2 linked regions of the Neurospora crassa OR74A genome follow. The protein of the gene in region 2 interacts with the protein of the main gene of each other region in a pairwise test. Links are inferred from orthologs where the notes say so. Each region holds a gene or a part of one and is shown on either strand. Other genes may lie near its edges.

Region 1 (3,533 bases), on a different chromosome or scaffold from region 2:
TCGTAGAAGGTCCGTCCTCGGCTGGAGGCGATTCGAGGAGTACAGGCCGGTGGTGAGAAGCAAAATTCTATGGAGCAATCTTGTCGACAGCAACATACAAGAAGCACCGACCGCGCCATGCTGCATCCGGCCGGAACTCTTTGGCCCCGCCTGCAAAGACTTCGTCGGGCGGGATATCTGATGACTAGTATGTACATAAGCTTCGACGGTTCGGGGTTTCCATGTTGTCCCGTCGTGCGTCGTAGCGTCTATCGTACCTAGCGCCGGAGGAAGACTGAACAAGAACTGATATGGTCTCAATTGATCAGTTGAAAGCCAATGATACTACCTAGCAGTTGCTGGATGGCCTGGACCTGTTGTTTTAGCTGGCCATGGTGGGGTTGAGGCCGTGGAAGGGAAAGGCGTCATCTGCATGATGTAATCCTTGTTCCACCAAGCAGCCTTCCCAGTGCGAATTGGTTTCTCTTTTTTGAAATTGAACACTGCACCCCAGTAACTATCATTCAGCTCCACGTGTGACAGACTGACAGCGAGCACACGGCAATAACGGTCAAAAGTTTACATAACCCTATGACTGTTCTTATCGCCTTCTTCAGATGGGCCCTATTAGCTGTAGTTTGACAAATCAAGGACTAGTCAGTACCTCTTCTCTTTACTCGGGTTGATTCTCAGTATCTGCCATCAACGAAACAATATACTGAAAAAAGGATGTTATCAGCCGCCACAAACACAGTGTTGCCATGCCAGAAAACTTGGCCACTGGTTGGTGAAAAAATTTGAAGGGCCTTGTGAAACCCCTTGCTGGCTGTCACTCCAGCCTCGACGTTCGGCCGTCGTCCACCGCGGCAATTCCGTGTGGGTTCCTGAATCAATGGTCTGGCCGTCAAAGTAACCTTTCCCTCATCCTTCCCGCAACTTACAAACTGTGCTACCGTCTGGTTGTGGGCTCATGGTCCCTTGTCGATGCAAGCACTTCTCAAACCTTCATCAATGGTCCAGCCATTGAGAAAAAGTAGATGGTAACTCCTTGCCCCACAGAGACTCAAAATATTTGGTTGAAGTCACCTTTGGCCGTCGTCGTAGTACAAGGACTGGTCAGCTCTGTGTGTGCGGCGCAACCCTTTTGAGTCGGTCCTTTGCGCTCCCTCCAACATCTAGCTGCTGATCAATGACCATTGCATATGGCTTCTGGTCGAAGCCATTGAGTCCGTCACTCCCTCTCCGGTACTGTTCGGAAGGCGCCACGCCGTCAATGGTCAGGAAAGAGCGAGGGGTCTGTCAACCTGTCGGCAACCGCTGCCGATAGCAGTTTTCCATTGCTGGTCTGCAGCAACAAGCTCCGGTCTCAAATCATCGATGCCAGGTCGATATTGTTCAACCCAGCTTTTGCAAATATCCCTGCACAATCAGACGCTCCACATCTCCTTGCCGGACATAGAATTGACTGTTCTTTGTCAGGTTGATCGCCCTTTAGACATGCGTTAGTTAGCGTGGAACCAAAGCCATCATCTATTCCTCCATCTGTAGCGTAGCTTACCCATATTCGGTTTGGATCTCGCCCGCATCCTTCAACACTCGGACGTCGATAAAAAGGTCTCGTGGGGGTTCGAGACTGCCTGTGAGATCGATATCCGTCCATTGGCCTTTGTAGAGGGCCAACAAATCTCCAAACTGTCGAAAATAATCCTCTTCCTGGGGACTAAGACTGCTGGTGGTCCCGCCCCCTTCATTGCCCTCCGTCACGCCCTTGGGCCCTCCTGTCGTCTGGCCGGCAAGGTCGAGGATATCGGCTCCATTCCACACCAGCTCCTCGAGCTTGTCTGTTCGGATTCGGTGATAGGCGAGCAGACAGCGCTTGTTCCTTCGCATTGAAAGGTGGTTGACCAGCAGCGTGCACGCGGTGGCCTGTTCGGCGGAAGGATCAAATGACCCCTGGAAAGGTTCAAGTAAACTGGCGACGTCTTTGTCAAGATCCCGGATTTCTCGGGCCACTGCACGGACAAGCTCGGTCTGATAAGGTGGAAGATGGCTCAAGTTCTGTGTCCTCTTGGCATGCTGGACCTGGTGATGGTGTGAGTGTTCGTATCCAGGGAGGATGCAGTGAGCTTGCACAAACCAGTTTGTTACCCAAGTCACCGTACATGGGCATGTTTTCGACGTGGCTTAAGTGCCTCTTTGGACAGTTCGAAGCTGAAAGGTGTGATAGTGGAATTGACTATGTGTCTATTTTCTGACGCGTCTCACGTCGCGTCGTTTTCTCGAACAGCCAGGCGGGTGAAGTTCGAGGTTCCGTCTGGATGTGAAACCGTTCTATGGCCACTAGCATATCAAGCGTTGTTAGGCAGATAGGCGCTACAAGATGGTCTAAGCACTGCACTTGAACGCGGGGTGGGCATCAAAAGTCCTCGGACAGCCCTAACCCGAAGCAGAATACGCAGTAGAGGTACGTGTATCCGAACATTTTCTTCGTCCCATTCCCTCTCAACCAGCTGCATACGGCGTGTCCCAAGGCATACGTGCAGTCAGGGCATTCACTAACGTCGGCGACAAGAATAGGGATATTCATAAAGCAAGACGTACAGAGGTAGTTGAAGGGTGATGCTTCTTCTCATGGGCAAAGGCCGCAGTACAGGCCACCGTACCTTTGAAACGAACGTCTCATTTCCTGAAGCCGATACCAGTTCAGAGATACATGTGAAGAATCGGAGTGCCTTCGCACATGGTGCACACATTCTACATGCCCCTACGTCCAAAAGTTACTAGCATTAAGCCCTTGAACAGTTAAGAAATATTCAATAAACTATTGCTAAGCAAACACGATATAATCTATCAACTGTTGAAACCAGCAACCTTCTCGGACCACCTTGATACTCCCACCCGCCCATAACGCACCGGACAATCGGTAATGGTGACGAGGAAAGACTACACTAGGCTCCGTAGGGTTGCCAAATTCCAACTTCAGATGGGCTGCTCCATTGGACAAGCACTCGGCATGCGCAAAGATACAACAACTACGATTCATGAGTTAGCTCAAGAGCTGCGAAAAAGAAGCAATATTCCAAGTTGAATGAGATGCCAAAAGGGTCAGAGTCGCATAAATGCTGGTTTCGTCGTCATCTGCAGAGGTCTTAAGTCTGCTTGGTAACACGGACCAATTCGATCATCACGGGATGGGCGTGGGAGTACCGGTAACGGAGGAGTAGGGAAGGAGAATATCAAACAAGGTGCTAGAACTTACACTAATGACAGACACCGACGCGGCGTACTTCTGGCATTGCCAGCTTTTAGCAATTTGGAGCCATTCTCTCTGATGTCTCCCACAATGGCGCTGTTCAAACGCGGCGGTTGCACACGAAGAACCAAAACGGGGAGAATTTCACACAGCGAAAAATTTCCTGGCCATTAAATACAGACAGTGCACAGACCAGGCACAGGAACCCACCGAACTGACCGAAGACTCCATCGTGAAGACGGGACCTACATGGAAGCTCCGATAAGATAAGGAGCTAAGTACTGCCCTGTATGTAGGTAGG
Region 2 (4,046 bases):
AAGGCAGATTTTTCTCCAGACAATCAAACATTTCACTCGAAATGTGCAAAACTCAGAATGTACACTCCCTAACCCTCCCTCCACCCGTCCCCGTCCCTCCCACTCCCGGTAACTCATACTCAACCCACCGTGCCGCCCCCTTCCTCCCCGGCACTAATATGCTCCCCGGATTCATCACGTGGCACCCCTCATACGTCACGCAAAACGGCGGAGCGGTAGTATCCACCAGTACCATGGCCGTCGGCAGCGGGTAGAGGTACATGGCGGAAGTATAGTCCCAATGTACCGGGCGGATAGCTTGCCGGAAAGGAGCGAGATAGCCTTGGTCGAGAATGGTTTTCACTAGCTTGCGGGCGGCGAGGACGTCGTAGGGTATGGAAGATGGAGGAGGCATGGTAGTCTTTTGGTTAGGGGCAGGGGCAGAATCGACATCCATGGCGTCGGTCATGGTTGTGTCGGCCATGTCTTCGTCGTCAGCATCGGGGGCGTCGGGGAGGGAGGAGGGTGGACATTGGTTATCCATTGCCGAGTCGTCGTTACCATTGGTTGGGGGTTCCGGCTCGACGGAGGCTTTGCTCGTGTTCTTAAGACGGACAGAAGCTCGTCGTAACCGGGCGGAGATGTCATCTCGGAAAAGAACCATTTCGTGACTAGGCCCGAAAAGGGTTATCCTACTTGGGTTGGTTGTCCAGACAGCTTCGCCGCCTCTCCTCTTGCCTGCATCCTTTTCTGTTTCTTTGCCAGGGTTGGCTAGCCCGGCTTCAGCATTCGCTGCTGCGAATACCCTCCTGATGCGGGAAGTAAACAGATCTGGGACGGGTTTCCTCGGCAAAGGAGTTGCCGCACCACCTGAGAAGGCAGACACCCACCCGTCGTTGTCACCTGGCACAAAAACAAAGGTAGCCGTCGTGAGCAGACTAGGGAAATCCGCCAGTGTCGATGCCAACGCATCGAAAAACTCCTTGTACTCAATACTCCCCCCACTCCCGCCCCTCGCCATGACAGCATGCTGCGTGAAGTTACCCGCCAGCACAAACGTCATGGGTGTACACCCTTCAGGATCACTAGCATAGAGACCCAAGATTTTTCTCAGTGCCTGCAAACTCCTCGGCTGATCTAGGTTTAGTTCGCCAATAATCACTGCCCTACCCCTCGACGGCCTGCCATCCTCCAACAGCGCTGGTTGCCGAAGAATTCTGTGCTCCAACTTGCGCATTTTGGACCCGACTGCCCTCTCGCTACCTACGCCCAGGAAGTCGATCCAGCCGAATCCGCCGCCAATGGTATGATCAGCGCCGGTGCCGTCGGGCCCACTAACCCCGAGCGTAACGCGGCGCTTTTCGCATGGTGGCTGGCCGATGAAGAAACCTTGGAACCGGCCGCCGATGGTACCGCCCACACCGCTGCTACCACTGAGACCGTTGCCCATGGTCATGGTTTCCTCCTCCTCTTCGTAGACGCCGTCGATGAGAACAATCATTCCCGGCGTAAACCAGGCAGAATCTTCAGGGATGGCGACAGCGTGAGAGAGGTCGAGAGTAATGGTGCCCGTCAGGTCGCTGATGGCAAGAGAGCCAGTGGGAAGGACAACAAGCATGCCCAGCAGCATGTGGTTGCTGCCATGGCGGCCGAGCAGGTTGGCGATTGGGGTAATCTTGTGGGAGGAGAGGCCGTTGGCGTTGGTTCGTTGGCGCAAGCTGGAGCCTTGGACGGAGGAGGATTGAAAGGCTTCGTTGCGAAGGATGCGCTGATGAATAACGTTGTAGCGGTTGCGGAAGGCATCGGTTTTGTGAGAGGCGGCTGGTAGTAGGGAGGGTTTGGAAGGATCCCTACAAAGGTTAGCTGTGTAACCTATGTAAAGAGGGTAATAAATAATAAGGGACCATACCTCTCAAAATGCTTCTTTCCAACATTATACATCAACCGTGGTTGATCGAAAGCATGTATAACCTTCAGCCACCTCCTAACATCTCTCACCGAATCGTCTTCCGGCTCTTCTGTGAACTCCAACCCAGACATGCCAAAGCTGGCGTTGCTGTCCTCCCGGGTTAATGATGGCACGGGCCGAAGTCCGAGTCGACTATGCGCATGTTGTTCGTCTTGGTCGGGCTCTAGCAAGAGACTGTTTTGTCTGCTCAAGCTTCGTGGCCCGGTCAGGATCTTTCCTCCGCTCATGTTTCCCTCGAGGGTCTTGAGAATGTCCTTGAGCTCGGGGCTGTTGCCTTCCACGATGACGCCGCCATTGCGGTTCTTCCAACTCCTTGCTACCTCTTCTAGCACCTTTTCGGCCAGGCCTTCTTCCCTCCATCCTGAGCCACAGTGTCTACCGATAAAGGTTGCGAGCTCTTGTAGGGCAGTTGATGTAAGTGTTAGGCTGTGTTTCTTGGTAAACGTTCGGAAGGCGAGCGGTCGTAGTGTCGCCGGCGGAAGGATGATGGGCAGGATTGCGGCTTTTGTGAGGACTGGGGGTTGGAACGGCTTCAGTGGATGTACTGGAGTAGCGAAGGCGGGCGAGGACGAGGGTATCGGGTTGGATGGGCCCGCTGGGGTCTTGGGCGCAAAGAAGCCGGCGGCGGCTGCTGCTTGTGGCTGCGGTCGAGATGGTCTGTCTTGGGCGTTTGTCTGGCCGGTTTTCGTCCGCTTTTGGCGGGGACTTTGAACGATCATTGTGTCTGTGGTCTGGATAGCTCGACTAAACTTGCAATTTAGTATAGTCGGTTACAATTGGCCGTCTACCAGTCTGTTCGTGGTGGTGATATCCGTCATTGTCACTGTCTGGAAGACGCGTAAATTGAGAAACGAAGCAGGGGACCAGACGCGTTCTAGTGGGGCTCACCCCAGATTTCAGCCAATACGGGCTCCACAATGTCAGAAACAGGGGCATCAAGGGCCACCTACCCTGGTTGCCGCCGGCAGCGCTAGAGAGGTACCTACAGCAGGTACCTACGCTACAAGTAGACGCACGAACAGCACCAGAGTGACATCAACTAACTTTTGACGCCATCACCAACCTTTTCATTCTCGATATCAGATTCAATACAGCCAGTCATGATGCTTACTACAAGATTTCGTGTAGTTCCTACGCTACGAAGCGCAGTCAGGTCATTCACGACCTTGCCGTCCAACCCAAACATTGCAAGTCATCCATCCACCTCTCCACCAACAACCCCACCCGCACTTACACCACAACCCCCATCCTCACCACATCACCACACAACAACTCAAACACCATACTAACACCCATCACCACAGAAAGTCTTTCCCCACCCAAACGACCCAAAAAGCTACATCCTCTCCCTCCTCCCCACGACCCCTCCCCCACCCACCCTCTCCATCGGCACCACCACCGCCCTACCCCCAACTCCCCAGTCCTTCACCACCAACCCCCACTTTCTTTCCATCCTCAACTCCGTCCTCGCCGAACACGCCTACTCCGACCCCGGTCTTCAATCACAAGCCCAAGCCTTTGCTTCCCCAGCCGGTTTCTCCTTCCTTCCTCGTCCTGGCTCGAGAAAGGTAGGCAAAAAGGGCAGCGACACGGGCGCCGGCGGGGCGTCAGCGGAGGGAGGCGCGGGAGGCGCGGGCAGGGGAGGATGGGTGCACTTGAGTGATGAGAGGACGCCAGTGGATTTCGGAAGGATTGCGTGGCCCGAGGATATCTTTGGGAGCGTGGAGGTGGATGGGCAGGGAAAGATGATCGAGGGGACGTTCCAGGGGAGTGGGACTTATCGGGTTGTTACGAATCAGGGCATGTGAGTATTTTTACTTTGGTGAGGTGAGGTGAGGTGGGTTGACGTGGTTGCTAACTGTTGGGATTGGTTACAGCTTGGGACTAAGTCCGTTTTTGATGGAGAGGTTGGTTGCGAGGTTCAAGGAGGAGGAGGCGAAAGAGAAGCAGAAAGCTTGAGAGGAGATGTTTGGGGTTTGAAGGATGTGGGTGGTGAGAGCGGATGTACAATAGGTGAGCGGTCCGTTTGATGTGTCGCTACACTTCATGCTGTTGTCCAAAATAAAGGGGAGACGTACGTCTTGGGGTTCGATTCGTC

Evidence for each region. The genes of interacting proteins can lie anywhere in the genome.
Region 1: the proteins of NCU10155 (region 2) and NCU02631 interact in a two-hybrid assay, tested with the Saccharomyces cerevisiae proteins (4 studies listed by BioGRID). The link is inferred for Neurospora crassa OR74A from reciprocal best matches to the Saccharomyces cerevisiae genes DPB2 and PSF1.

Annotation. Positions count from the first base shown.
Region 1 is NC_026501.1:2,993,052-2,996,584, reverse strand, and holds NCU02631 (DNA replication complex GINS protein psf-1), read right to left. Parts: upstream 2,331-3,533; 5' UTR 2,150-2,330; coding exon 2,117-2,149; intron 2,062-2,116; coding exon 1,538-2,061; intron 1,469-1,537; coding exon 1,375-1,468; 3' UTR 501-1,374; downstream 1-500. UniProt on the Saccharomyces cerevisiae protein: Required for DNA replication. Functions as part of the GINS complex which plays an essential role in the initiation of DNA replication by binding to DNA replication origins and facilitating the assembly of the DNA replication machinery.
Region 2 is NC_026505.1:1,592,464-1,596,509, reverse strand, and holds the start of NCU10155 (DNA polymerase epsilon subunit B), read right to left. Parts: upstream 2,801-4,046; 5' UTR 2,668-2,800; coding exon 1,889-2,667; intron 1,830-1,888; coding exon 53-1,829; 3' UTR 1-52. Other genes in the region: NCU04588 (hypothetical protein), read left to right, coding at 3,049-3,135, 3,253-3,752, 3,826-3,907. UniProt on the Saccharomyces cerevisiae protein: As accessory component of the DNA polymerase epsilon complex participates in chromosomal DNA replication.